Linked DNA regions of Pelodiscus sinensis. The protein of the gene in region 2 interacts with the protein of the main gene of each other region in a pairwise test. Links are inferred from orthologs where the notes say so. Each region holds a gene or a part of one and is shown on either strand. Other genes may lie near its edges. The genes, in order: ETF1, KEAP1, WDR83 and MAD2L1.

Region 1 (7,087 bases), on a different chromosome or scaffold from region 2:
AGCTACATCGACAGAAGCCTCCTTCTGCCAACCACAACTGCGTCTGCACTTGAGCGTTTGTTGGCGTAGGTGTGTGGGTGAGGGTGTGCTCCCTCTCCTCCCCCGTGCCTGACCAATGTAGCTGTGAAAACAACTTTTCAGCGCAGCCAAACTAAAACCTTAATGAAAACGCAGCCGCTGCAGTTCTACCACGTGTGGCAGAGCTATGTGAATCCTAGGCTCCAGTGTTTCCCTGACCAGCTACTAGCACAACTTCAAGTTAAGGCTGCCTTGTCTGTGTGAGGATTTTACTATACATTAGCCAACATACAAGAGCCTCCTCCTCCAGCCACCGCTTCCCTTAGTGCTCTTAGCCTACCGGCCGGTACTTTACAATAACGCTTGATTTCGAGGCGGTTATCCTTTTCCTTGACCGCGTTCACTGTGCTAATTTCCAGGCTGCCTTTTTCCTGAGGCTTATGGTGGCCAAACTCCCCAGAGCAGAGTGGCTCACTTCTCAAGCGTTTAACAGGATGCTCCAGCACACACCTGTACCACCCATCTGCTGAGTTGCCTACTGCCTTTGAACTCAAAGAAACACGCTCTCTCTCATGAGCTGCCCAGTAGCTCCAACGCCCAGAGCTCTGGCAGCCATGCAGGTGTGCTAAAAACAACAGCGTGGCTGCTGCAACCGAGACTTGGGCTAGCCGCCTGAGTTCAGACCCAGGGGTTTGGGTGGCTTCAGCATCCAAGCTGCTGCTTGGGCTACAATAGTTACACCGCTATTTTTAGCAGTGTTAGCTTGAGCCCAGCTAGCATGCGTGTCTCCCATTGGGCTAGGAGGTTTGCTCCAGGCTGCAGTACAGACATAGCTCAGGCTCCTGGGGAAGACAGACTGGATATTCAGCAAAAATATAGTGACTGGTCACATGAACCCAGGATGATTAAAAAAAAAACACTCAGAAACATATGAGATTGGTACAGTTGTGAAGAGCTCTGTGTTGGGCCAATAAAAGGTATCACCTCCCCCATCTCATCTCCGTAAGATCGAGAGTCAAAAAGGGGGTGCCGGGCTCAATGTTGAGAAGCCAGAGTTCAAGAAGCTTCACACAATTTCCCTTTTTTTTTTTTTTGCACCTAACTTGCTGCAGAAACTACGGAGAAAGGCCTGGGGCAAAACAGATTCAGTAGCTTATAATAGCAAGTGACCCTACATTTTTTGAGAAGGGCTTGCTGACAGCTTTGGGGGACGTCAGGAGCTCTCGCTCTTTCCCAGGGAGTCATTCACTTTTTCAGCTATGACAGTAAAGAGGAAAGACCCTACCTGCGGTGTGACTGATGGGATAAGCATATAAAGCTGTACCTCGCTCACTGCAGATCTGAGCAAAAGTCAAGGCAGGAGCCGCCTTTACTCCAGCCTGCCCTTACATCCAAGGTAGTCCTAATGCTGGGTGAGGATCTATCTGAACAAGCCTAGAAATACTCCACAGACTAGATGCCGACATGACAAATGGGCCATGGGCAGTCCCCCGCTCCACCCCCACTGAAGAGCAGGGCTGCACCCCGGGAATGCTGAGCAAGGTGCTCTGAAGCCACCAGGAAAAGGCAGTGTTCAGATTATCCCCCACTTCCCTTAGCTGCACAGGGTTAGTCTTCAGTGCTGAAAAACAGAGCAGACCTGCGGTGATTCCATGGGCACACAGCTCTAGAGAGCTTTGGCTTAATGAACTAAGTCTCAGACCTACCAACTGCAACACAAACCCATTTCCTGGGCTCCCAGTAGTGCCTTAAGGGAGACACTGCACTTCTCTGTTAAAAAAAAAATCAATTCCATGCTTCGCTTTTGTAATTCGACTTATCGTTGTGCCTCTACAGGGAACACTTCACTCTCCCTCCCGGCCCCACTTGTTTGCATTTAAAATACTCCAGCCTTTACCACAAAGAGTTTTATTTTCAGCTGAAATCAACTGAAACACCCAAGGCACCTGCTTTGTTTCCACAGCCTGTTCAGACAGATTATCAGAGCCTGCTAAAGAAAGCCCAAGGCCCCCGCACTCTCTCCCCAGCTGGTGACACTGGAACAACTGCAAGGGGAAAGGGAAGTGTCTTCCAGCGCCCGGGGCTGGAACCCACGGTCAGTGATGGCGCGGCGCGTGGGTACGAATGGCAACTTCACTAGCAAACCTCACGGTCCCCCCGCGCTCGGCGGGGCGGAGAAGACGCCGGGTTTCAGGAGCTTCGTCTCCACCCAGGGCTGACCAAAACGCAGAGCACATGGCCACTGCCACTGTCCCCAGGGCCAGGGGCTTAGCGCCCCAGGGCCAGGGGCCCAGCTCACGTTCCAGGCGACGCCCGCTCGGGCAGCTCCAAGGGATCCAGGCGCTACCGGTGTGAGGTGAGCATCGCAGCCCCCGGCCCCGCCTTCCCCCCCGGTGTCACCGAGCTGGTGTCTGGGTGGAGCCGCGGGGCAGGTGCCGGCTCCGGGCAGGGCAGCGAGCCGCGTGCCCCAGCGGGAGCCGGGTGCCCGTGAGGCGCGGGGCCGGAGGGGGGGGGGGGAAGGGGCGAGCGGGGCCCGCCCGCCCGCAGCCCCGACACGCGAGGATCCCCCCCCCCGCGGCCCTGCCGCTCGGGGGCCCAGGGCCGGGCCGGGCCTCGCCCCCCCCTCCTCCCGGCCGCTGCTCACCCGCGCGCCGCCTCCAGGCTCTTGATGAGCTTCTTGATCTTCCAGATCTCCACGTTCCGGTCGGCAGCGCTGGGGTCGTCCGCCATCTTCTGCTGCTCCGCCTCCTCCCTGCGCGCCGGGGGACAGACAGCCGTTAGTCCCGGCCCGGCCCCCCGCGCGCCCCCCCGCGCGCCCGCCGCTCACCTCAGGCGCTGTCCCCCCGGCGGCGGCGGCTCCTCCCTGCGCGGCGGCGGGGGCGGCTCGCGGCGGCTCTGACGTCGGAAACCGGCTTCTCTCCCCCTCTCCGCGCTGCATGTGTTGCAATCCGCTCACATGGGGCCTGTGACATCACTTCCGAGGGACCCCGGAGAGGGCGGGGAGGAGAGGCGAGGGGGGCGGGACCCCCTCCGGCTCCGCCAATCGGCGCCTTTCCCTTCGCTCGCCGCCATTGGCTGGCGCCGCCGGGCCGCGCGCTCCCCGTCGCTATTGGCTGGACAGCTCAGGCCAGCCTCCGCCCCGCGCGCGGCGCCTGTCGGGGTGTGTAGTTCCCCCCCGCCGGGAGGGACGCAGACGGGAAGGCCTGGCTCTCGCGATGTCTCAGCAATGCCGCGTCAGGCCAAGCGCTGGCTCTTAAAGGGGAAGGCGCACGTGGGAGGGGGGGAGGCGTCAGCTGGCGCGGGAGGGACCTGTTGGCGGGCCAGGGCGGGGCGCTGCCCACGTGGCGGGCAGCAAAGCCAGGGCGCGGCAGCCGTGCCCCTCCCCCCGGGTTATGCCCCCCCCGCCCCTCCTGGGGGCAGCAGGGCCCGATCCTGCCCCACCCCGCTGGAGCCCCCCCGGCTGGGGCTGAGCAGGACCCGCTGCCTAGCAGGGCTCCCCGTGCGCCCAGCCTAGCGCAGGGACCCCGGGGGCCCAGTGGGAGCCAGCGGGCGTGAGGCGTCTCCGGAGCTTGGGGGAGCTGGGCCCCCCCGGCCCCCCTTGTACACGCCGCCCCCACCGCAGAACCGCGCTGGCGCGGGCACAGGCCTGCAGTGCCGCTCCCTGGCGCCTCCCGCGTACCCGCCCGGCGCAGCGCTCAGGGCTCCTTGTCTGCCTGCCTGGCACGACAGCCCCCCACAGCGGGAGCCACGTCCCCCCGGGGGGCAGGGAGGCAAGCAGAGGGGAAAGTCAGCGCTGGCGCCACTCCGGCAAGAACTGGCTGAGCTCTGGCAAAAACCAGCAGGGAGCTATTGAGAAAGCTGGCAGGGCTCCGGGTTGTACCTCTAAGAAATGTTAAGTTCCTTTCACCCCGGGATGTAACCCCATGCTCTGGGTGGGTCTCGCCTCTAGTTGCCAGAAGTTAGTAGTGGACGGTGGCATGGATCAGCGGTCACCTGTTCTGTTCATTCTCTCAGAAGCACCTGGCGTCAGCCACTGTCATAAGCAGGGGGGCCGACAGACAGCTCTGTGCTGCTGGAAAGGGTGAGGCATTGGGTGGAAGGGGCAGGCCTGGGGACCCTCAGAGTTGCCCAGAGCCTTCCAGGGCCCAATTTACAGGGCCCAAGGCCCTTTTGAATCACCAGACCTGGGGCAGTTGCCCCCTGTCCTCATACCACTCCCTCATAGGCGGGCCTGGTTGGAAGAGAGGATACTGGGGTCGATGGACCATTGCTCCCACCCAGTATGGCCGTTCTCATAAACATCCACCAGAGTGTGTCGCACAGCTACCCTCACCCTTTGGCACTCAGGGTGTGTCTAGACTACAGGGTTTGGTTGACAAAAGTGGACTTTGGTCGACAAAACTATCCCTGGGTCTACACTGCCACTGAGTTCTGTCAACATAACGTCAACAGAACTCAGCAGTTTTGTCGATGGCTGTAAAACTCATTCTACGAGGAATAACGCCTTCTGTTGACAGAGTTCTGTTGACAGAAGGCGTTATTGCATCTACACTGTCATATCTGTCAATAAAACTTCTGTCGACAAAAGCCTGTAGTCTAGACGTATCCTCAGTTACTGAGACTTGGCGACTAGCTAGAAAGGGGACGCTTGCCTGATAGTAGCTGTGACTTGACGGGGACGTAGTTTCCTATGTCAAAATGGCTACACGCTCACTAGAAAACCATTATCTGGCACCACAGCCTCATTAAGGCCAGGAGGAATTATTACGATACCAGTTAGACACTGTATCCCACTGGTCAAAGAACCCTATCCAGTATTTCATCTCCATTGCTAGAGTAAATGATATACAGAGCAAGGCCTATATTTTCCAGCTGCATATTCCAACCAAAGCACGCCCTGCGTGACCAGCAAAAGGCTGCTCTAGTCAAAGTGTCCCTGTCCAGGATGGGACCTCATGTTTAAGTGAATGAGCAGAGCAAAAGAAAACTTGGTCTTGCAGTTAAGACACTGAACTGGGAGTCAGGAAATGCGTCAGTCCCTTTACCTGAGATAAACTGCATAACCTGGCACGAATCAGGTTGTGTCTGCCTGGATAACTGCACCATTGCTAGCTGACCCAGTAAAGAGCGCTGGTGTGAGTCCCAACCCGGCACTACACAATCTGCTTTGTCCACATCCATTGTTACGCTACACTACACCATTGCAATCTCAGCGCTCAGTGAGTGTTTATTCCTCGCTTCCCGCTACGGCTCCCAGAAGCCCTGGATTTCAGTTAGCCTTGGAATCCCCAGGGAGAACTGAGTGAGAAACAGCCTAACTCTCAAAATTCCCTTGTAACTCCCATCCCGTTTTTCGTGGCAGCGGCTTAGAATCATAGAACACTATGGAAGGGACCTCGGGAGGTTATCAAGTCCAGTCCCCTGCCCCCCCCGGCAGGACCAAGCACCGTCTAGATCATCCTTGACAGGTGTCTGTCCAACCTGCTCTTAAATATCTCCAGAGATGGAGATTCCACAACCTCCCTAGGCAATTTATTCCAGTGTTTAACCACCCTGACAGGTAGGAAGTTTTTCCTAATGTCCAACCTAAACCTCCCTTGCTGCAGTTTAAGCCCCATTGCGTCTTGTCCTGTCCTCAGAGGCCAAGGAAAACCATTTTCACCCCCTCCTCCCTGTGACACCCTTTTAGGTAACTGGAAACTGCTATCATGTCCCTTCTCAGTCTTCTCCTTTCCAAACTAAACAAGCCCAATTCCTTCAGTCCTCCCTCAGAGCTCATGTTCTCTAGACTTTTCATCATTTTTGCTGCTCTTCTCTGGACCCTCTGCAATTTCTCCACATCTTGCCTGAAATATGGTGCCCAGACCTGGACACAAGACTCATTTCAAGCCATGCGCTTCAAATGGGAGCCAGGGGCAAGGTTCAGTGGCTCGGAAAAACAAGAGATTTCTGCTAACTTGTTCAAAGCCACCCTGAAGGGCCTGCGACAGCCGTCACCAGGGCCGGGTGGCGATTCCCCGGAATCGGGCCCCGCCCTGGGCACACAGCGCATGCGCGAATCAGGCCCCACGCTTGTTAAAGCCCGCCCTGGCTGTCACAAGGTGTGAGCAACTCGGAGACTGTCAGCTGCACGTCCCATTGCTCACTAGCAGGCTGCCTGCACCACTGCCCGAGCTGCGGGTGTGCCGGGCTTATGGTCAATGTCTGCCAGGTGGGCATGGAGCGCAGACAATGCCCGCAGATAGATGGGGCACATGCTTGAGATGTGAGATGTCAGCAGCTTGCCCGGGCATTACCCCTCTCCCCCAGAGATCTGCATATTTCCATGGGTGAGAGCCCCATGCAAAAGTGGTCCCTGGCCGGTCGCACACCCAGCACCAGGCCTCGAAGAGGGACGGAACTGGACGCTGCAGCCAAGCGTGTCTCAAGGGACCTTTTAGAGCCATGCAGGAGGCTCGCGAGCCGTCGCCAACATGCGGCTGAGCTCAGCCATTGCTACGAGCCCCTCTTGGGCATTCTGGGTGGAACTACAAGAACTTGGTGTTGCCTGTGAGCTGAGGATCTCAGAACTACGACACGCGGGTTACTCAGGGCTGCTCTAGTGACTGGGTGTGTGTTTCTTTAACGACGCAGAGTGAAATCAGTGCAACGTCCCCTCCCCCCCGTCCTGTCCACAAAACGATTGTTAGCTAGGTTACGACCCAACCAGCTCCAAGGATCTGAAAGGTGTTAAACAGCTGGGGCGGGAGGGGATCAATAGTATCCTGCTAACTCAATGGAAAAATTCACCTTTTTGTGTCAGTGCGGAGCAGCCCGCAGAGCTAGGCCCAAAGCCCGTGCTCACACATTGCTCTCCGGTACCCACAGGCGGGCGCAGAGGGGGTAAATGGCGTGAAGATTGACATTCATGAACTGGGCTTGTTTAGTTTGGAAAAAAGAAGATTAAGGGGGGACATGATAGCGGTTTTCAAATATCTAAAAGGGTGTCACAAGGAGGAAGGCGAAAATTTGTTCCTCTTGGTTTCTGAGGACAGGACAAGGAGTAATGGGCTTAAAGTGCAGCAGAGGA
Region 2 (6,858 bases):
CTCGATGAGCCGCTCCATCACCCTGGGGTGGATGCCCTCGATGGGCACCACCTCCATGGCCTGCTCCCGCAGCCCCGTGGTGAACATGGCCTTGAAGACGGGGCTGGAGGAGGCCAGCACCACCTTGTGGGCCTGGAAGTCGGCCGGGGGGGCGTCCTGGTAGCGCACCCGCAGGGTGACGTCGCAGAGCTGCTGGCTGAGCCGCAGCTGGTTCATGATGCCGAAGGCCTGCTTGGTGTGCTCCTCCAGGGTGTAGCTGAAGGTGCCCTGCCCGTGAGGCGACGGCGTCACCTCCGCCTTGCACTCCGGCGCGTACATCGCCGCGGGGGGAGGGGCTAGGCCGCCGGGGGGCACCTTACTGAGCCCGGGGGCACCGCAGCAAAGCCACACCTGCGGGGGAGACGGGCTTAGGAGGGGGCCCGGCTGGGAGCGCGGGGGTCTCTCCCCACTGGGCTGCCGCAGCCCCCAGCGGGCCAGGCCGGGGGGGCCACCCCCCCAGCCCCGGCTCCATTCCTGGGGGCTGGCTCCAGCGTTAACGAGGCAGAATCACTGCTAACGAGGGCCCCGCTCGGAGGTAGGCCAAGGACTGGAGCGCGGAGGCCAGGCACAGCCAAGGACACGGGGACTGAGCCTCAAATCAGCGGGGTTGGGGAAAGGGTCCTCAGGGTCAGAGCTCACCCCCGGCTACCCTCCGTGCAGCCCCCCCAACCCTGCCAGCCCCCCACAAGTCCCCAGCGTCCCCCCATGCAGCCCCGTTCCCCCAGCAGTCCCCCCAGCCCCCAACAAGCCCCCCAGGCGGCCCCCTGTTCTGCCCCCAGCATCTCCCCCATGCAGCCCCGTTCCCCCAGCAGGCCCCCGGCCCCCAACAATCCCCCAGGTGGCCCCCGCTGGATCCTGAGAGGTTTGGTAGGGAGGCTGTCAAGTGCCGGCACCCAGCACGGCCGTGCTGCTCCTGCCCTCTGCCTTGGAGCTGCCCCCACCCCTGGGAGCCTCCTGCTCACTGCGCAGGGCACGGGAAGAGGAGGGGGTGCTGATGTCAGGCTGTCCCTCCCCCCACCCTGTACCCCAGCTCCACAGAGCAGAGGGGGGCAGGGTTGGAGGGAGTTTGCTGGCTGCTTTTGGGAGTGGTGCAGGGCCAGGGGAGGGGAGAGCCTGCCTTGGCCCCCTGCACCACCCCCCAGTGCCCAGCTGGAGCCAGCTCTGAACCCCTGCCCCCCAAATCCCTGCCCCCAGCCTGATAAAAGTGAGTGAGGACGGGGGAGGGAGCAGGGCGGGGCCTTGGGAAAGGGGCGGGGTCAGGGAGTTTGGGTTTGAGGTGGATCCTGGATTACACTTCAATTCTAAAAGTGATCTCGTGCTTTAAAAGCTGGAGACCCCTGCCCTAGAAACAGACATGTCCTAGGGCCATAGGGCCTGGGTCACAGCTGGGGGGCACCCGCCGGGCCAGGCACGCCCAGTCTCTGCCCCAAAGAGGCCGCAGTCTGGCGGCCCCAGGTGTCGGAACCAGGGAGGGAACCCCGGGTGTCCTGAGTCCCAGCCCAGTGCCCACACCACGCGGGCACCTGGGCTCATGCAGCGTCTGCTGTGAGCGCAGCTCCTGAGCCCGGAGGCCAGGGACAGATCCAGAAAATCCCTGGCCCAGCCCAGCTCTGCCCTGCCGGCTGCCTGAACTCGTCCTGCCACCCAGCCTCCGCGTCCTGGGCCCCATGCAGCTCACAGACCAGGGGAGCACCCTGCCCCGCCCGCCTGCTCAGCAGGGCTCATGCTCCCTCTCTAGGAACTCCCCATAGGTGTTATCAGTGCAGGGCCTATGACACAGCTGAGCTGTTCTGATGCTATTCAGCAGAGGGCAGCGGGCACCTCCCTCACCCCCCTAATTACCACAGTACCATGATGCCATTGCATAGATGGGGAAACTGAGGCACAGCCAGGGGAAGGAGCTTGCCTAAAGTTACAAGTTGGGGAGGGCGAGGAACAACATGACTCTGTATCCCCGCCCTGCTAGAGCACCCCCTCCCTGATGCCAGGACAGCCCTCACCAGGGAGCTATCCATCCTGCAGCCACCAAGGGGGGGGGGGGCTGGGGTGAAGGAGGCCAGTGGGTGGCCCATCCGGGGACGTGTTGCAATTTCAGGGATGCAGCCAGAAATGGAAAACATTGACCAGAGCCCGCTGCCCCCCCCGCCGCCTGCCTGACAAGGGAGCTGGGCATGGGGGGCTCTAAACAAGGTCCCTACGAGGGGGAGCTCAGTTCCAGCAGCCCCTAAGCCTGGGTCCCGCCTGCTCCCCCCCAAGACGCTAGAGCCAGCGAATCGGCGACACCCCCGCCCCCAGCTGTCACACGCAGGGACTTCCTCGGACGCGTGTGTGCGGGGGGGGTGACCCCAATCCAGGAATAACCCCCCAATCCAGGCTCGTGGCAGGCCGGTGGAGCGATAAGCAGAAAGGCCGGGGGGGGGGGGGAGTACTGGTCCCCGATCTAGGGCAGTGACCCCCCGTGAGAGCTACACATGCACAACCCCCGCCCCCGCCCCATACACCCCAGCCCCCAAACAGCTGACTAAAGCGACCCAGACAAAGCGCCACATGGGCCGGGGGGGGGGGGCTCGGCCGCAACCCCCCCCCCCCGTTTTCCTTCCTCCCGCTTCCAACTCAATGGCGCCCCCACAATTCATCCACTCCAGGGCCCTACCCCCCACTTCGGGGGGTCCCTGACAGTTCCGGGAGGGCCCAGCTAGTGAGAGCACCTGGGGGGGGGGCTTGTGCAGCAGGTCCCCGGAGCCCGGGGGCGGGTTCCCCACAAGCCCGGGGGGGGGCGGGGATCCCCTCTCTCCGGGGGGGTCACTAACCCAGACATGGCCCCGGCCCTCCTGGTTCGCCCGCTCGTCCCGGCTGGGCCCGGCTCGGCTCCTCCATGGCGCAGGCAGGGCTGGGGGGAGGGAGCGGCGCGGGGGGGGAGTCACCATGACTAAGCAGAGCGCGGCCGCTGTCAGAATAAGAGTCCCCTGGTTTCCACCCGCCCCCCCCCCCAGTCCCCGGCCGGATGGAACGCGGCGGCCCCAGCGTTCGGGTTCGAGAACGCGGCGGGGAAGCGGCGCATCCGCTCCGGCCTGGGGGCAGAATTAGGGCGCGGGGGGGCGCTGCAGAGGATGAATGGGGGGCGCGGGATGACTGGGGGAGATTAGGGGCAGAGCCTGGGGGAGGCACAGAAGGGGGGCGGGGTGGCTGGGACGGAAGCAGGCTGGGGCAGGGGGAGCAAAGGTAAGGGGGGGGCCCTCTCTCAGCCTGCCCCGTCCCTTTCAGTTCTGGGGGGGCCCTCTCTGGAGTAAGGGGGGGCCCTCTCTGGGGTAAGGGGGGCCCCTCTCTCAGCCTGCCCCGTCCCTTTCAGTTCTGGGGGGGCCCCTCTCTCAGCCTGCCCCGTCCCTTTCAGTTCTGGGGGGGCCCTCTCTGGAGTAAGGGGGGGCCCTCTCTCAGCCTGCCCCGTCCCTTTCAGTTCTGGGGGGGCCCCTCTCTCAGCCTGCCCCGTCCCTTTCAGTTCTGGGGGGGCCCCTCTCTCAGCCTGCCCCGTCCCTTTCAGTTCTGGGGGGGCCCCTCTCTCAGCCTGCCCCGTCCCTTTCAGTTCTGGGGGCCCCTCGCTGCCTGAGCTCTCTGGGGCAGGGCCCACGGAGCCCTGGGTGCTATGAAAGAACAAGGGGGGGCTGCTGCCCTTTGCCCTCCGCCTGCCCAGCCCGGAGAGGCTCCGGGACTTTGTACCGGACAGGGAAGGTGCCCTGCCTCCAGGCGCTCCTAGGACTCCCTGGGGAGCAGCGACTGGCCTGTGCCTCTGTGTGGAGGCCCAAGTGCAATGAGTTTGCAGGGTCTCAGCCCCTTTTGTGGCCCAGTGGGCACCAGCTTGCTCCACTGAGCTGCCATAGAGAGGCTCCTGGGGCTGCGTGTTCTGAGAGCGACCCTCCGCCATCTGGGCCCTTCCACCACGGCCCATGGCAGCTGCATCTCAACTGGGGCGAGGAATCCCTGTAAAACCGTCTCCTCACCCACCCCAGAAGTGGCTGCATCACAACAGGGCTGCAGTGGAGACAGCGCCCCCCTCGGGGACAGGTGCAGAGGTGGCACTCGTGTAGATAAATCTGTGTATTGTATATTGCGGCATGTGACTTGGCATGTGCCTCTCCATAGAACCGTGTCACTTTGTATTAGAACCCGACGTAGAAAACTGAATCTACAGTTAAAGTGGTAAAAATGTCATTTGCTAGGAGTAGAATAAGATTTTCCCCCTACTCCCCCCCCCCCCAATCAGTTGCCCTGTTGAATGAACGAGGTGTGAATGAGTAAGACTTGGGAGCCCAGCCCCTCCAGAGAGCTACCCCAGTTGAAGAGGGGGTGGAAGCCAGACCCAAGCAGACATATCCACCGCCTTGGGGATTAGAAGCAAGCACCCTCTTTGGAAAACACCCTCTCTGAACAGACAACACCCACAAAGGGACCAAGGGACACAGACCCAGAGTTTGAATCTGGGATCTATTTGCATAAGAGGGAAGCTGCTATAAAAGTGAGGTGTCTTGCAGAGGACCCCGGGTTTCGTCTAGTCACCATCGGAGCATCGATCCGGATCAGCAGAAGCCCGGCTCCACCCCTCCCCCATCTAACTCACCTGGCCAGTGAAGTTAAGGGGAGCAACTCGTTGGTAACAACAGCAAGACGGAGAGTGTGTGTGTGTGTGTGTGTGTGTGTGTGTGTGAGTGACATATATGTATCATGTCCATATGATAAGTGTTGATTATTCTATGTGTGATCAGTAAATGTGGCGTGTTGCCTTGTCCCTCTGAAAAAGATCCCGAGTGCTTCTTTTAAGTACAACACTCGTACCAGGTGTTTCCCAGGCTCCTGCCTGGGCGTCTTTGCACCCCGGCGTCAGGCCCCACAATCATGGATCGGAGGTGGAGACACATTTGGTGTTCACACAGGGCTCAGCCCTGGTTCCTGCGCCAAGTGCTGCCCTGGGCGGCCGTTTCCCGCATGGGGGGGTGTAGCTCAGGAGCCAGGGAATCACTGGCAGGGCACTCAGCTCCAGGCCCTGCCTTGGCTCTGCTCTTCTGTGTCTCCCTGAGCTTGCCCCCAGGCTCCCCCCTTCAGCCCCCCCAAGTGGATCCCTCTAACTCTCAGCTCTGAGTGGTTTGTGCCCCACCCCCAGCTGCCGCCTGGCTCCAAGTGCGCGAATGTAGCTCTCCCAATCTCCCCTCCCTAGTCCCCCCTTCCAGCGCCTCTCAGCTGGGTCCCACTCGCCGGGCCTGGTGCTTTGCTGGGACGCAGGACTCCTGGGTTCTCGCCCAGCTCTGGGAGGGGAGGGGGTCGCCGGGAGCCAGGGTTCCATGCGATGCTTTCTGGCTGGGTGACGCAGAAGGCACGTGACTTGGATTTTCACACTTGCCGCTGAGAAGGTCTCTGTGCTAGAAATCACCTGGGAGCCCCCCAGGGCACCTCTGCTAATCCCCAGGGGCAACCCCGTGAGCACCTGTCCCAGCCGCCAGGTGGCTGCAGCAGCTGCGCCCCTCTGGCCTGGAGCCTCTGGAGTACGGGGGTTCCAGCTGCGGCCCCCTGCTGTCGGCACCCCAGAGCGCCTGCTAATGCCTGGGACCGTGCCTCACCCCCAGCCGCTGGGATGCCCAAGGACCCGCTGCCCCCCCACCCCCGTGGGAACAGGAAAAACTCCCTTGTTGCAGGAGCAAGGCCGGAGGGCAGGAACCCCAGAGCTCAGCACCTGTGTCTGGCTTTTCCCGGAAGGTTTGAACACTGCCAGGGCAGAGGGAGGCCTGACGTGGGGCAGAAGGTGTTGGCCGGGAGGGGCCCTTTCGGCCCTCCTGTTCATGGAATTGCCTGGAGGGTTCAAACCACAGAGAGCGGGGCCTAGAGAGGCTCTGGGACACCGGGAAGCAGGAAGCCGGCCAACCAATGGGAGCAGAGCGCAGGTTTTTGAATGGGAAGCAGCGACCTGGTCCAGTCTGTGTAAGCAGAGCTGGGCCAGGGGCCAAGCCAGGGAGCCGGATCCAGAGACATCCGGGTCTAGGGAAGGGCTGAGTCTCTAAGCACCAGGCAGCGAGTAGAGCAGGGACGAGCCAGTCGGACGCCATCAGGTTGTTTTTATGGTGGGCTCTGCTGGGTCTCTCTGGGTCCACTCCCTGGACCCCCGCTCTGCTCGAACTCTCCAAGCCAAGTCCCAGGGAAGCAAGTCGGGGGCGTGACTCTGGTTTGGTTCTGGCTGCTCTAACGCCCCGCGACCAAGGAGCGTCTTTCATTTGATCCTGAAATCCCCGTTTTAACGCCGGGGGCTGATTCCTGCGCCCTAGAAGGCCGGCGGATCTGTGACTGAAAGGTCAGCTATGGGGTGGGGGGGGCCTAAGGCTTGCCCGGATCCAGCCCTGGAGGCTCGGGGCGGCCCCCTTGCCCCGTTCCCCCCTGTGGGGCTGGAGCGCACAAAATCTACAAGCCTGGGCCTGACTGATTTTTCTGTGGGTCACTGACCTAGAAAAGGTTCCCCCCCCCCCCGCATTAAGGACAATTATAGGGGGTTTCAGGCTCCAAGAGCTCAATGAGCCCCACAGGAAGAAATTTCCAAGTGTATCTTCCTGGGTTCTCAAAGGGGCTTTTGCATTTGGGGGGTGGCAGCAACAGGCCCCGGGAATCTGTGACTTCAGGGAGGTTTTTCAGCAGAAAACGTTAAGGTCCTTTGCAGGCCCCCCCCTTCTCCACACACAGTGGCAGCGTGGAGGGCAGCCTTGGCATGCTGGTGGGATTTTCAAGCAGGTCACAGACCTCGGGACCCCCCCCCCCGCTGTTTGGGGGTTTTCCCTTTTGCTGCCT
Region 3 (7,458 bases), on a different chromosome or scaffold from region 2:
GCGCCTAGGGATACAGGCAGCGGAGGGAGTCAAGCCCCTGAACCAGCTCCATTCCCACGTGTGGCACCCTGCAAAGGGCAAACCTGAGGCCACGTGTCTCTGATTGAGGGAATTCCTCTCCCAGCTCCGACAAGTCTTTGGTCTGAGCCTGGCTCCTCCAGCAGTTCTAACTCACACTGGGCTCTATAGCTCCCTTCAGCTCCCTTCCCCCAGTGGTGCCCCCCCTCACCCAGAGAGGATCTCGTGGTCCGACACTTTCAGGCTGGACACCCCGTCCTTGGCTTCGTCCAGGATCTGGATGGGCTCGGGTCTGCGTGAGCGGCAATCCCAGCACCGGATGCTAGAATCGATGGAGCCTAGGAGGGAGCACAGAGCGGAGGGAGAGTAACAGCCTGGCCAAGGCCCTCGCTGGGCCTAGCCCCCGGCTAGCGAGTCAGCTGGGGCACCTGAGCCGGTTTGCTCACCTGACAGGATCACAGTGGCCTCCTCGTTGAACTGCACACAGTTCACCTTCTGTGGGTGGAGAGAGGGGGTGGGCAGACAGCCGGGGCTGAGTAGAGTCGCAGCTGCAGCATGGGGCCCTGCACTTGCTGGGCCGTCCCCCAAGCAATTGCCCCAGCTCATCAGCATCTCCCCCTCCCATGCCACACCAACACTGCCCCCATCCCATCCCCTGCAGCTGCCCTCTACAAGCAACTCAACCCTGCTGCTTCACCACCCTGCAATGCTCACACACCCCTCTAGGCAGTCCCCCCTCGATTCAGTCCCTGGCTGGGAGCAAGGACCCTCCCAGGACTGGTGTAGTAAGCGAGGGAGCATCCAGCTGCACTGTGGCTTGTGCCGAGTCCCAGTGGGACAGGGAGAGGGCAGCTGGGCCCTTCCCCAACACGTAGCCGGCTGGCTGGCTGATGGGAACATGCATCGACCCCCAACCCAGGCAGCACAGCCATAACCAAACGGGCCTCACCCCAGCGTGGCCTCGGAACTTGCGGATCACCTGCCCAGTGGCCACATCCCACAGGACAACCGTTTTGTCAGCCCCGCAGGAGCAGAGCTGGCTGTTATCGAAGGAGCTGTGGGGGAAACAGGAAGACAAGGTTAGGCTCTACCATGGGGAGCTGGCCGTGCAGGGAGGCTTTGCATCTCTTTGGCATGTCGGTGTAGTTGTGCCTGTTTTACAGATGGGGAAACTGAGGCACCAAAGGGGGAGGTGCCACACAGCAAATCAGTGACAGAACACAACCCAGGAGTCCTCACTCCGCCTCTGCCATTAACCCCTTCCTCCCCCCACTCTAACCACTTCCAAACCAAACACTCTAAAGTGGTTTCACTCCTGAAATCCTGCCGGTTATGAGAGAAGTGGAGTCCACCCCCTGCCCTTACCCAGCCGCGTCCAACACTTCATAGCCATGGCCGCTGTAGGTCTTCAGGACGGTCCCCTTGTGGGGGTTCCACAGCTTCAAGGACTTATCGCTGCCACAGGTGAGACAGTAATTTCCATCCACTGTGGGAGATGGGACAAAGAACGATGCACAAGGACCATGTAAGAGCACAGCTGCCAGTGTCTGCCCCACATCCAGCATTTCCACCCCACACCTGCACTCTCCTCTCTGATGTCCACTCCCTCTGCATGGCTCCTTGCTAGCCAAACTCCTTCATGCATGCTCATCCGCTGTCCCCAAGCTCCCCAAAATGATGGGAGAACCTAAGAGCAGACCTACGCAGGGACACAGACTCCCCTCATTCCCACCAGGACACAATAGGCAACATCCTAACAGCGTAGGCCAGGGCTACTCCATACGCAGCCCGTGGTGCAGTTGGGGTTTACACGGGGCTCAACACACGGCCCACGGGTGGGATCCTTTGAACGTGGCCTCCACTGGGAACACATTCCAAACGGCGAGGCGTCTCCCAGGTGGGGTGAGCAGTGAAAGATGCAAGTGGACGGGCTGGCTGGAACAGACAGGTACAGGGTGCCAGTGTTTCTAGCCCCCAGGGAGGAGGTGTCGGGAGCGCCGGGGCACTGTGTGAAAGAAGCTGCGTGAAGCCCCATATATTTGCATGTACATTAAACTACATTTAAGTTGCGGCCCTCGGCATGTGCTGTGAGTATCATTGTGGCCCCTGGGGCTTTAAAGTTGAGTAGCCTTGGCCTAAGCTCTTGACATATGCTGGCAACAATGGGTCTCTAAATAGCCTTCACTGCGCTGACTTACTGCTCTAACCACTAGACCCCGCTCCCAGAACTGGGAACAGAACCCAAGAGTCCTGGCTCCCATTCCAATCTCGTAGTCCCCACTCTTTCATTTTATGGGACCCGTGAGGATGTGCTCACCATTAAATCGCACTGCCCTGACTGCTCCCTGTTTGCACTCCAGAGTCTGCACCAGCTTCTTTGGCAGCTCTGTCTTCTGGGGCTTCGGTTCAGGAAACGCCATGATGGGACCCAAGCGGCTGGGACCTGTGGCAATTCCCACGGGGGTAAATCTGGGAGAGCTGGACTCCGTTCGCGTGGGGTTGGTGACGCGACTCAACTGGGGCAGGCTGGGGGAGGGGTTACAAATTTCTCACCAGACTCCGGCCTTACAGGTGTCTCCCTGGGAGCAGGACTCACTCGCTCGGGGAAGCAGACGGTTCCGTCCTGGCTTAGGAAACAACCGGAAGGTGATTTTGTGGCTGTTGCTGCCACAGGAGGCAGGGCCAAAGGGGAAATCCAACCCCCTTTATATTTAGGGCCTGGCTAGGTTTGCAGGGTGGCCAGAGGTCACCCTCTGAAGACCCAGGGAGCCATAAGGGGCTTCACACATTTCCAGTCTCCTAGAGCCACCCCCTATAGAACGGTGCCCACTGTCCTTCAACCCCCTATGGCCTCTCCCCAGCCTGGCACCTATAGAGCCCCCTATAGCCACCCCAGGTCCTTCCAACCCCTACAGCCTATTACGGCCTCAATCATCCCAGAGCTTCCCCCGCCCCTATGGCCCCTCTTGCTTCCTCCCCCCACGTTGGTACCCGGGAAGAAGCCGGAAATTCCGCGTCCGGCTCCTATTCCCGTCCCCCGGCCCGCAGGTTCCGGCTCCCTTGGTTCCGCCCCGCCATGTCCCGCCTCCCCTGAGCAGGGACCCGCCGCGGGGTGTGTGTGTGTGTGTGGGGGGGGGATTCGCTGTCAGCCCCGGCTCGCCCCCTCCCCGCGTGGGGGCCGGCTCGGGACTCGGCTCGCGCCGCTCAGGGGTTTAACCGGAACCATCGCTTCGGGCCGGGGCGTGTTACACCGAACCGCGCCCCCCGCGCGAGCCAATGTCCAGCAACAGCATGGCGGACCCGCGCCGGCCCAACAAGGTGCTGAGGTGAGGGGGGGGGGGGGTTGAGCGATCGCTGCGGGGCGCCCCCCCCCCCCGGGGGAGCGGTCTGATCGCGGTGCCCAGCTGCGGGGGGGGGGGCAGTTGTCGGGTTCCCTGGCGCGTGGCCCGGAGGAGGGAAGCGGAGACCCCGGTCCCCCCCCCCCCCATGGCGGCCACGCCCCGCTCCCTCCCTCCGGCCTGGTCAGCGGAGGCGGGAGGCTCCGCATCTCACTGCCTGATTGTGCCCCAGATGAGACCCCCCCCCCCGCTGATTCCTGACCCCCCCCACCCCCCCGAGCTAGGGCTGGGCAGATCCCTGGTCCGCTGGGTGCTCCCGCGGGTGACCGGGGCTGAGTTAACGCTCCCTTCTCTCTGTCCTGACGCGCTGTGTAGGTACAAGCCGCCAACCACGGAGAACAACCCCACGCTGGAAGACCCCACTCCCGATTACATGAACCTGCTGGGGATGATTTTCAGCATGTGCGGCTTAATGCTGAAGGTGAGCAGGAAAGGAACGAGCGTCAGATCTGGGGCGGGCGCGGTGCCTTCTTGGCAAAGCAAACCCGAGCCACGTTACTCCTTATTACAAAGAACATTTGTGCCGCTGGGCACTGCAGCGCTGCCTTGACTCACAGCGCCTGTTCCCTGAACCAAGCGGCTGCTTTCACAGACTCCAAGAAAGATTGCAGAGCAGAAAGGGACTTCTAGACGCTACCTAGAATGTATCTGTGTTGTGCCAAAAAACCCTTGGCACCGAGCGAGAGCAATTGGCTCAACTGCAGGGCTACAAATAGTAGTGATTTCAACTGTTTCTGGCCAGTGGGAGCTGTGGCAATTGTGCTGGCTGTGGGAACAGTGCATGAAGTCTTCCCCCACTCCCATAAGGGGTGTGGCACAGAGAGACACATGAACCCAGCAGCCAGACACTTGGAGTGGCCTGGGACTACCATAGGCAGGGGGGACTTTGCCTGAGGGTCCTGGCAGATTGTGGCTGGATCCAAAGGCTTGGTGGGCCAGATTCAGCCATGAGCTGTATTTTGCCTGCGCCTGATCTTAAAAACCTCCAGTGAGAGGGATTCCACAGTCTTCCAAGATTAAATGACTTGGGAGATGGAAGGGGGAGGGGCTAAGCAACCTGTGGACTGCTGACCCCCTGGTCGTTTGCCTCAGTACTGCAGGGGGTCTGTGGAAAGTTTAAAAATAAAGGGCATTTCCTTTTCTTTCTTTTCCTGCCGCAGGGAGGGGGTTCCATGACATTTTAATAGATTGAAAAGGGGTCCATATGCTCAAAAAGGTTGGGAATCACTAGTCTAAGCCATTGCACTGAAACTGGGTGGAAAGAGGAGGGTTCGTTACTTCTAGTCCTGGCTGAGTGTGTAATGAGTAGAAAAGGAACTGGGAGTCAAGGCTCTTGTGGTCTCTTCCTGGCTGGGGGAGGGACTGTGGCCTAATGGTTAAATCAAGGGATTGGGAGTCAGGACACTGAAGTCCAACTCTAAGCTCTTGCTGCATGAGTCTGTGCAATGGTACTGGCTCTAACTCGCTTCCCAAGGGAGCAGGAACTGGGAACTTTGTCTAGTGAATGTTTGAAGAGTTTGGATGCTTGCCTGGTGCGGTTAGATAGTGAAGATATGGAGAGATCCGGTGAGGGCCCCCTTGGCAGCTCTCAGATGAGTTCCTCTGTGTTTCTAGCTGAAGTGGTGCGCTTGGATTGCCGTCTATTGCTCCTTCATTAGCTTTGCCAACTCCAGAAGCTCAGAGGACACCAAACAGATGATGAGCAGCTTCATGTGAGTCGTTGTCTTCCTTTGGCTTCTCATTCGTTGCCCATGGGAGTGGAAGATGCGTGTCCAAATGTGCCCACTTGCCTGTGCAGGGGCGATGGGTGGGGGAGCATAGATGTGTGCGTGTGTCATGGGCGCTAAACGCCCTTGGCGGAAAGACCTGGCCAGCCACTGATGGGGTGGCAAGTGGGGGGAGGGGGAGGGCCTGGTGCTGGCAGCAGGAGTTGCCCCTCCTCTCCCCCTCCAGCCACACTCACTGGCAGCAGGGGCCCCAGCTTGCTTTGCTCTCCTGGTGTGCTGCTCTGTGGAGGGGTGGCGGGACTGCCCCTGTACTCCCCAGCAGGAAATGGAGTGATGTGGCCAGGAGAGCCAAGTGAGCTAGAGCCTCCTTACTCCACTTCTCCTGCCATTGCCAGTGAGTGGGGGGGCGGGCGGGGCAGGGCAGTACAGACTCCTGTTGCTGGCACCTGACCCCCTGCCCCACTAGTCCCCTGTGCCGCCTCGGTTGGGGGAAGAGATGGGGAAGAAGTGGGGGAGGGCAGAGCAGGGGCAGGGCCTGGGGTATAGGGGGGTTGCCCTGCCACTTCCCCGGGCTGGGGAGGGTCATGTAGCTAGCACCCCCCACCAGTCCCTCCTCACCAGTGGCTGCTGCGTTGTGGTTTGAGCAGAGCTGTAGAAGCCGAACTTTTGGGGTCTGGGCCTAACTCTGCCCCTAATCCTGCATGATTTGTACTTTGACACTTTCCTGCTGCCTTGGTTTCTCCATCTGTGAAAGGGGGATAAATGGTGTGGTGATTAGTTCGGAGCCCTTGTTATCCGAGTGAGCAGCGAGCCAGTGCCCCCGCATGGTGCTTGGGAAGAGAGGCTGCTCTGTGGGAGACGCCAGGTTAGAATGAGATTCCGAACCAAAGTCTTGATCATTCTTGGATATTAAATTTCACGGCATCTTTTCCTAAAAGCTGAGCTGCGGGTGCATATCCTGACCAATCCCAACTCTGGTACCCACAGTCCTTTTCCTTAAACACCTGCCCTGCAGTTTTCCTTGAATGGAAGATTTTTCATCTCCTCTGAAATACTGGTGCAGAGTTTGATGCTAGGCAACGGCTGCCTTGCCCTGGAGAGACGGCTCCATTTCTGTGTGGTGAGCAAGCCGCATGCAGGGTCAGCAATGCAAACCAGGGAATCGTTCGCTGACATGCTGGTGCTGTATGAGACCTAGACATGAAGGGGGATGTTGAAATTAGGGATGTAAAATTCCATTTAAAATATTAACTTCTTAAACTGTTAACTGGCCTCTTGTGTTGTGTTGTGAGTTAGGGGTGCTGTTCCGGCTAGGCTGGGCACTGGTTGACTGGTTATCCCAGGAATCATGCTTACCTGGTAACCATGTAACCCTTTACATCCCTAATTGAAATAATAAATAAAACCTCCTGGTTGGTTTATTTTTAACATTATTCATTTTTTTCCTCTGGCTTCAGGTTGTCTATATCTGCTGTGGTGATGTCCTACCTACAGAACCCCCAGCCCATGTCCCCGCCATGGTGAGGAGATTACAGCTCCCTGAAAATCGCAACGAGAAACTGTCAGGGGAGAGGAAGGGCCCACAGGCTATAACCATCCGTGTGTATGAACACTGTGTTGAAACACTTGGGGATCTAAATAAACGGGTGGTTGCTGTAGGAGCTTTGATTCAAAAATAACCTCTGTGTGTGTGGAATGGGGCCTTTCAACTCTCTGTCTCCAGTTTCAGGAGCGGCTTAAGGTATTTACCACGTAACTGATATTTTGTGGTTCTTAGTCCCGTTTCCAAGGACCTGCATTGTAAATAAAACAACGAGGAGTCGATGGCACCTTAAAGACTAACACATTCATTTGGGCAGCAGCGTTCCTACGCTGGAACCCACTTTGTCAGTTGTATCTATGAATTTGTTAGTCTTTAAGGGGCCCCAGGTTGCCTTGATTTGCAGAAATAGGCTCACCTGGTGACCCCTCTGAAAACTGTAAAAGTAATTCACTCTGATCGGCGCTAACTGACTTGTTGACAGGACAGAGGACGAGTGTGGAATGAGTCACAAAGGTCTGGTCGACACTTGCACGGTTTTGCACTAAAAATCAGCCTTTTTCAATAAACACCTGAGGCGGTCACACGGACAAGCCTCGTTTTGGGTCCAGACCCCTCAGTCATAACGAGGTCATAAAGCCACTTCCCAGAGTCATCAGGGGTTTGGTGCTGAGGCCTTACTGTTGGCCTGCCGGTGTGGACACCTAGATCGCTGTAATTGGCCTCCGGAGGTGTCCCACAGTGCCTTGAGCGACCACTGCACTCACTGTGCAAA
Region 4 (7,556 bases), on a different chromosome or scaffold from region 2:
GAGAGTGTTCACACTGCCATGGATGCTCTTGCGCAAAAGCACATGGCAGCGTGGACATGCTCATGCGCAAAACAGTTCTCATGCAAAAAGCCTGCAGTGTAGATGTAGCCAGAATGTTTTACAAAATTGCAGAAGAAATGGACGTGATTAGGTGTCTTTTTTTAAATCCTTCATTTTGATATAGATTTGTCATTCAAGTCTGCATGAACAGTATACCGTTCATAGTTAAAAAGGTAGCTGTCTCCTTTAGATTAAAGTTCCAATTCAAGTTTAAAAGACATTTTCTTCTAGAGTTGTTAGTGTTCCATTAATCACACAAAAGTCTGGAATACTCACAGGCTGTTTCCAGCAAAGGAAGAAATGTTACAGTGGCAGTTATTTGTCTGATAACAGATCGAATTTCCTCCTGGATAGCTTTCTGAGATTTCTCTCTTGGTACACTACATGAGTAATAAGTTGTCAATATAGAAAAAAGCTTTTGTTATAACAGAAAATTTCTCTGTATCTACATCTCTTCATTAAATTGTTTAAAAGCTGTTCTTGCTATACAATAGAGACAATTTTCCTTCACACACACACACACACCCCCCGCGCTCCCCCCCCCTCTCTCAAATGGACAAATACTATGTAGTGAAATACAAAGTGGATGATCAAGGTTTGGAAAAATATAACCAAAATGACAGCTTATGATTTTGATTCATTGTTCTTCCATGAGACCTCACAATGTTAAGACTACCAGCCTCTGTCTTGATTTCCTTGAGAACTGGTTTATGGGATAATACTGCTACCAAAGTAATTGCTTCTCAATATGAGAAATTTAGGAGAATAGTAGCAATCAATACTACCTTGAAGTCTGAAATAGTTGCTGAAGAAAATAACAGCTTTATACAATAAATTTTTTTAAAAAAGGGGGAAAATTCTATCTTTCATATACAGCTTCTTTTAAAGTAAATGGGAGTTATATATTCAGCTGAGATCAAAAGTTTTTCATTTGATTTAGAATGAAGCACACTAGTTAATTACCAGCAAACTGAAAACTATACAATGCTGTGAAAGATTTCTGCTCTGGTGTATTCTCTCTGCACCTGAGTGTTTTTTAAATGTTGCAGCACAGCCTATAAATACAAAGGGCCTTTAACACTCGCATCTAATCGACTACTAGCATGAACCAACAGGAAGGATTTATAACAGTGTAATTTTGAAAAAAACAAACAAACAATGGTCTTGTAGCACCTTAGAAACTGACAAAAATATATAAATAGTATATTTAGCATTCATGGGCCCAAGTGTAATTTTGAGTGCATTACCTTTCATCCTTTGCAGTCTTGTCACATTCAATATCAAACTGCCACCTTTCAAGAACCTCACTGCTTTCAATGCTAGAGATCACTACAACCAGCCGTTGTACTGAACATTTGTATAACCAATCTGAAATAAGAAAAATAAAAATTTCCCTACAGTCAGATAACGGAGATCACTCTACTACACACACACACACACATATATATATATAAAAAAAAAGAGAGCTGTCATTAAATCTCACATTACTATCTGCACTAGTAGTTTCACTGTGGAAAAGCTGTTAATGTGGAGTCAACATCCTAAATAAGTTAGTGACAAACCTTAAAGTATACGTTCACTTCACAACTAAATAGCGAATTCAGAAATATAAAAACACAACAGACATTGGCTATGTAAATAGGCAAGCTGAACATACATACTAAGAGAATGTAACCTGTTTAAGAAATTCACATTTGAGCACTGAAGGGCAAGAAACTACTTTGCCTTAGTGAGGACTGGATAGAATCATAGAACCATAGAGCTGGAAGAGACCTAGAAGGTCATCAAGTCCAGCCCCTGCTCTAGACAGGACCAATCCCAACTATATCAACCCAGCCAGGGCTTTGTCAAGCCGAGACTTAAACACCTCTAGGGATGGAGATTCCACTACTTCCCTAGGTAACCCATTCCAGTGCTTCACCACCCTCCTAGTGAAATAGTTTTTCCTAATATCCAACTGGACCTCTCCCACCACAACTTGAGACCATTGCTCCTTGTTCTGCCATCTGTCACTACTGAGAACAGCCTCTCTCCATCCTCTTTGGAACCTCTCTTCAGGAAGTTGGAAGGCTGCTATCAAATCCCCCCTCACTCTTCTCTTCTGCAGACTAAACAGACCCAACTCCCTCAGCCTCTCCTCATAAGTCATATGCTCCAGCCCCCTAATCATTTTGGTTGCCCTACGCTGGACCCTCTCCAGGTCTCCCAAAATAAGACTCTCCCCAACATATATAAATAGGATGGGTAAATATAAACAAACATGGACTATCACACAGTTCCTATGCATGTCGCACTCGAGACTCGTGACAGCTTTGACCTATGCCAGGCGCCGAAGATACAGGAGATCAAAGCGAGCGCCCATTTCGGTGGCTTGGCTCTGCGCTACCTTTCAGCTGCTCCACCACGTTGTTGAGGTAGTTTTTCAGGTCCGGGTCTGTGGTTACCAGCAGGGTGAGCCCGTACTTCTGCACGCGCGTGAAGGTCTCCGAGGGGTAGACCCCGCGCTGGTACAAAATGCTGTTGATGCCGAAAGCTGAAAGGCAGGAGAGGCGGCTTCGTCACGGGACTCCCCGAGTAGAGAGCCCGCCCCCGGCATCCCGCCCCGTTACACAAAGCGGAGCGCTCGGCAGAGACGCGGCCCCCAGGCCCCTCCGCGGCCCCCAGGCTCCCTCCCCCCGCGCTCGGTTCATCGCCCCCAGTGCGGCGGCCCGGAGCCGCCCGGCCGCCGACTCACAGAAGAACTCGGCCACGATCTCGGCGCTGCCCCGCAGGGTGATGCCCTGCTCCCGGCTCAGCTGCTTGGCCATGGCGCGGCGGTACCGCGTCCCCGCCGCCCGCTTCAAATCAGGCGCTGCCCGCGCGCCGCCTCATAGGCGCGCGCCGCCCCGAGCGTTCGCGCCGAAGCACAGGCGCTGCCCAATGGCGGCACTTCCCGCAAGCGCCGCCGCTCCTCCCTCCCGGAACCGCCGCCCTTGGGCGCAGGCGCAGTAACTTTCTGTCTTGGCGGGCTTGGCGAAGCGGTCGGGGTTGCGCTGGGACCTGAGCGTTCGCGGGGGCGCCGCGCCGACCAGCTGTGTGGGAAGGGGCAGCGCGTGCCCTGACTCCCCGCCCCCCCCCCCCCCCCGAGCGGGCCGTGCGCTACACCGCGAGGGACGCGGAGGTTCGAAAGTGCAAACACGCCCGGACCCTGCACGGCTGCAATCCCCTGCGCGTGCTGGGGGGGGGGGGGCTGGGACTCGAGTCCCTCCCCACCCCGGGGAATCCCCCATGTTTCTCAAAGCAAACGTTAAGCGCGGGCAGCTGCCGCCTAACGTGTGATCCCCGGCGCTGGGGCCGGTGTTTTCCCCAGGAATTGAAATTAAGGGCGGCTTTCCAGTTTATGGGAGTGTGTGTGTGTGTCAGAGCCAGCCAGCTGAGGCTGTACGGTAAATGAAAAGTAACGCAGCTGGAAAACAATCTCAACGATGCCTGCAAAACCTCGGTGTGTCAATTAGCTGTTACCGCTCAAGAAAGGTTCCCGCAGGACAGGTCCACCAATAGCTATTAGGATGGGCAGAGATTCAACACCATGCTGTGGCTGGGATGCCTTTATTTCTTCCTGGTGTTTCAGTCCATGCAGTCTACACGTGGTTGAAAAGTTTTATCCGCTGGAGGGGGGAAAGGAGCTGTTCGGCATAGAGAAGACGGTGCAATTGGCAGTAATGCAAATGTGCAATGAAAATGAGCAGACCACTCAGGCTGGTGGGGTTGAATTTCTTTAGAGGGACATGTATTGGGCTATAGAAGGAGATTAAAGGAAAGTGATGGTGGAGGGGCTGTTCCTGGCAACTTCCAAACCTTAAATGTTCTAAATGCAAATGTTAACAATATTATTGGTCCTTCGGGGATGGATTAAAACAGTGCTGGGCAACCTAAGCTAGTGAGCGGATTGCATGAGTGATGCTCATTCATCTGAGTGGGTTGCAAGATTGTTTTACCAAGATGGTCCCTTGGAATAGGGTAGATTTGCTATCTGCACTTGTGTACTTAGAATTTGTGGGATGACCTAATTTATAATTTATAGCAGCACTTTGACTGGATGCAAAGGGAGTGCACAGCTCTCTAGTCAATGCTGTGTGCAATAAGCACAAACATCATTTTATGTGCCCTTTATGTGTATGCCACTTCAGTAATACCAATAGGAAAAAAGTGATGCACACATACCACTGGAATCTAGCAACCCTGTGCATGGGCAGCTGTAAACACAATTTCTCATGGGCCATACATATAAACCCCTGTGGGCTGCACAAGGCTCATAGCTACAAGCTGCATTAGAGGAAACAATAGGTCTCTTTCCATCTCCCAAGTGCCTGTCACTGGGTTCTGTAATTGTCACTTTACAGTACAGCCAGAATACATTCAGTTCGTCCCCTTTTTTATATGCAAGATTCATAATTTGTTTCCATAGAGGAAAAGTAAAAGTACAGCTGTTAAAAGGGCAAGAAAATTAAGGAACATGTCTTCAATCCTGTTGGAATACAGTGAACGTACAGCTTCCCCATATGGGGAAAAATTGGTTCAGAAAAAGAAGCAGCAGAAAAAATGGGTTCAGAAAAAGAAGCAGTAGTCTTATCGACCTGCTTACCCAGTAACTGCATAAATGGCCTGTCCAGAGCAGCCCTTTGCCCACAGCAGGACCACAGCTGGACTCTGCCTGTGGCTGCAATAGGCTGGCTGGACCCTAGCTGAAGCAGAGTGGTCCGGAGAAGCCCTCTGCCCACAGCCATTGCAGGATGGGCCGGAGCAGCCCCCCTGCCTGCAGCACACCCACCCTCTGCACAGTGGACAGGAACAGCCCCACATTCCACCCCTGTGGCATAGTAGCTCAACCGGCAGGACCCTATTCATGAAGGCTGCAACAGGTGTCACCTGTGATGCAATGATTAATTGTTTAAGCACTGTAATTTTAATTGTTTAATCAGTTAACTATTTTAATGGGTTTTTACATCCCTAAAATCAGCACCTACTGGAGCAGTTAGGTAACCTCTGGGAAATGGTGTGTTTATTCTAGAATTGTTTGGACTGTGTCCTATACATATCTTGGTTTGAGACAAATAGATATTTGTCCCAATGTATGTCATCAGAAAGGCCAGCGAAGGGGGATGTGTTGCTCATCCCAATACACTGTGTTGCTCATCCCAACCTCCCTCAAATCACATAGTCTGATGCCAAATTGTCTTATCTGAATAAGGAATTTGCCTTGAAGTAAAGTCCAAGTAAGATACTGAATCATCTGCTATTTGAGAGTGAGGAAGGGAGGCCTATCTAGCTTCCTACTGAGTGGCTTGGAATACAGTAAAACCTGTGTTATCTGGCACGCTCATCGGGGATTAGGGTGTTCCGGTTATCTAAAAATTCCAGTTATCTGAGGGTCCCATCAACCTAGGAAAAAACAATGAAAAATAATAATAAAACTCGAGTTTTTAATATTGGTAGTTTTGCAGTATGAGGCAGTTGGTCTCATATTTCTATTTTGAGTTAAAGATTATTAGTACTTCTTAAATAAACAGGCGCATGCAGTTGCGCGTGGTGGTCATTGGAAAAATGTGAAGGTCCCTGATCATTGCCTGCATAGTCTGGAACCTGTGCATGGGCAAGGATGCTGTTCCTGTGGTGGAATCCAGGAACGTTGCTACAAACTCTATAGTCTGGGAGGGGACCATCATGGACTCCTCCTTGTTCAGTATAAGGCCCAACTGCAGGAATAGGCTCCTGGAAACGTGTGTGGCTACCTGGTCCTGAGATGAGCCACGAATCAACCAGTCATCCAGGTAAGGGAAGACTTATACCCCGTGGCGTCTCAATGCAGCTGCCACCGGGACCATACATTTGGTAAAGACCCTTGGCGCTGTGGTGAGTCCGAAGGGTAGGACTGTAAACTGAAAGTGGTCCTGGGCTACTGTGAACCGCAAGAACTTCCTGTGGGAGGGCAACACCATGACGTGGAAATATGCAAATTTCAAATCGAGGGCAGCAAACCAGTCTCCTTTTTGTAGGGAGGGAATAATTGATGCTAGAGTGACCATTTTGAACATTGTCTTCTTTATAAATGTATTTAGTCCTCTGAGGTCTAGAATAGGATGAAATCCCCCTTTTGCCTTTGGTGCAAGGAAATAATGGGAGTAAAACCCCCTCCCCCATAACTCGTCCGGGACGGGCTCCACTGCCCCGAGATTCAGGAGCTTCACCACCTCCTCCCTCAGCAGTGTTTTGTGAGAGGGGGGTCCCTGAAAAGGGAGGAAGGGGAGTGGGGAGGAGATGGGGGCAGAGGGGAAGTAAAGGGGATAGAATAGCCCCATGCCACCAGGCTGAGAATCCACTGGTCTGATGTTATAGATACCCAGGCTTGGTGGAAACGGGATAAATGAAAACCAAAGGGGGGGGAAGAAGACGTGACTGGTATGCTATCCTCGATCGTGCCCTCAAAATGGTGATTTGGGGCACTGACCCGCATACGTAGTGGGGCCCTTATCTTAAGTTGGTCTAGAAGCTCTGCGCCGGTTTGTAGGCGGGTTATTTCTAAAAAAAATTACGGCCCTGCCTTCTGCTGCGGTCATAGGTAAAACCCCGCTGAAATTGCCTTGTAGCAGGCTTGGGGTTGAGGGGTCGCCTAAGTGGACCGGGCGTATGGATTCCCAGAGACTTAAGAGTTGCCCGGGAATCATTCAGACTATGCAGTTTGGAGTCCGTTTGATATGAAAAAAGATCCGCTCCTTCAAAGGGCAAGTCCTGAAGGGAGGTTTGCACATCGGGTGGAATGCCCGACACGTTTAGCCATACAGTCCATCGCATAACAACTGGTGCCATTGTCCATGCAGCTGAATCAGCTACGTCTAAAGCCGCCTGAAAGACCATACGGGCCACCGTCCTGCCTTCGTCTGCCAGGGTCCTAAACTCTTGGCGGTCTTCCTGTGGCAAATGGTCCCAAAATTTGTCCATAGCGGACCAAGTATTATACGCATAGTGTCCCAGCATAGCCTTATGTGGAATAGGCTTACGTCCCAGGAGGTCCAATTTTTTTGGGTCCCTGGCTTTAGAGGTTGACCCGGGGGGACCCTGTCTTTCCTTTTGTCCTGCTGCCTGAACAACCAAGGAACTCGGGGGTGGGTGGGAAAACCAAAAGTCATGCCCATCTTGAGGAACAAAGTATTGTCTCTCCACCCCCTTCTGGGTGGGCGGGACGGAGGCCGGTGTCAGCCAGAGGGGCTTGGCCAACTTATCCACCGTTTTTATCAGGGGCAAGGCCACCCTGCCCGGGGTTGCAGTGGAGAGGATGTCAACCACGGGATCTGTATCCTCCTGGACCTACTCTACCTTTACTGCCAAATTCTTCGCCAGCCTTCGTAGGAGGTCCTGATGGGCCCTTGCATCCATTGACGGCAAAGATGGGGCTGGGGCTGTTAAGGCCTCATCGGGATAGGAAGATGAGGAGTCCTGTGGTACAGCGGTATCCTCCA

What was found.
Region 1: the proteins of KEAP1 (region 2) and ETF1 interact in binary tests that used the Homo sapiens proteins (3 or more experiments, as listed by UniProt). The two-hybrid records come from large-scale screens. The link is inferred for Pelodiscus sinensis from reciprocal best matches to the Homo sapiens genes KEAP1 and ETF1.
Region 3: the proteins of KEAP1 (region 2) and WDR83 interact in binary tests that used the Homo sapiens proteins (3 or more experiments, as listed by UniProt). The two-hybrid records come from large-scale screens. The link is inferred for Pelodiscus sinensis from reciprocal best matches to the Homo sapiens genes KEAP1 and WDR83.
Region 4: the proteins of KEAP1 (region 2) and MAD2L1 interact in binary tests that used the Homo sapiens proteins (3 or more experiments, as listed by UniProt). The two-hybrid records come from large-scale screens. The link is inferred for Pelodiscus sinensis from reciprocal best matches to the Homo sapiens genes KEAP1 and MAD2L1.

The regions. Positions count from the first base shown.
Region 1 is NC_134727.1:4,050,307-4,057,393, reverse strand, and holds the start of ETF1 (eukaryotic peptide chain release factor subunit 1), read right to left. Parts: upstream 3,001-7,087; 5' UTR 2,846-3,000; intron 2,771-2,845; 5' UTR 2,749-2,770; coding exon 2,663-2,748; intron 1-2,662. UniProt on the Homo sapiens protein: Component of the eRF1-eRF3-GTP ternary complex, a ternary complex that mediates translation termination in response to the termination codons. The eRF1-eRF3-GTP complex binds to a stop codon in the ribosomal A-site.
Region 2 is NW_027465991.1:323,330-330,187, forward strand, and holds the start of KEAP1 (kelch-like ECH-associated protein 1), read right to left. Parts: upstream 3,006-6,858; 5' UTR 2,967-3,005; coding exon 2,850-2,966; intron 391-2,849; coding exon 1-390. UniProt on the Homo sapiens protein: Substrate-specific adapter of a BCR (BTB-CUL3-RBX1) E3 ubiquitin ligase complex that regulates the response to oxidative stress by targeting NFE2L2/NRF2 for ubiquitination.
Region 3 is NC_134729.1:13,375,597-13,383,054, forward strand, and holds the start of WDR83 (WD repeat domain-containing protein 83), read right to left. Parts: upstream 3,002-7,458; 5' UTR 2,588-3,001; exon of another isoform or gene 2,572-2,587; intron 2,462-2,571; 5' UTR 2,439-2,461; coding exon 2,336-2,438; intron 1,505-2,335; coding exon 1,384-1,504; intron 1,074-1,383; coding exon 968-1,073; intron 514-967; coding exon 465-513; intron 357-464; coding exon 230-356; intron 1-229. Other genes in the region: WDR83OS (PAT complex subunit Asterix), read left to right, coding at 3,295-3,344, 3,732-3,837, 5,031-5,128, 6,601-6,667. UniProt on the Homo sapiens protein: Molecular scaffold protein for various multimeric protein complexes. Acts as a module in the assembly of a multicomponent scaffold for the ERK pathway, linking ERK responses to specific agonists.
Region 4 is NC_134715.1:36,054,702-36,062,257, forward strand, and holds the start of MAD2L1 (mitotic spindle assembly checkpoint protein MAD2A), read right to left. Parts: upstream 3,016-7,556; 5' UTR 2,868-3,015; coding exon 2,795-2,867; intron 2,594-2,794; coding exon 2,447-2,593; intron 1,429-2,446; coding exon 1,308-1,428; intron 441-1,307; coding exon 337-440; intron 1-336. UniProt on the Homo sapiens protein: Component of the spindle-assembly checkpoint that prevents the onset of anaphase until all chromosomes are properly aligned at the metaphase plate.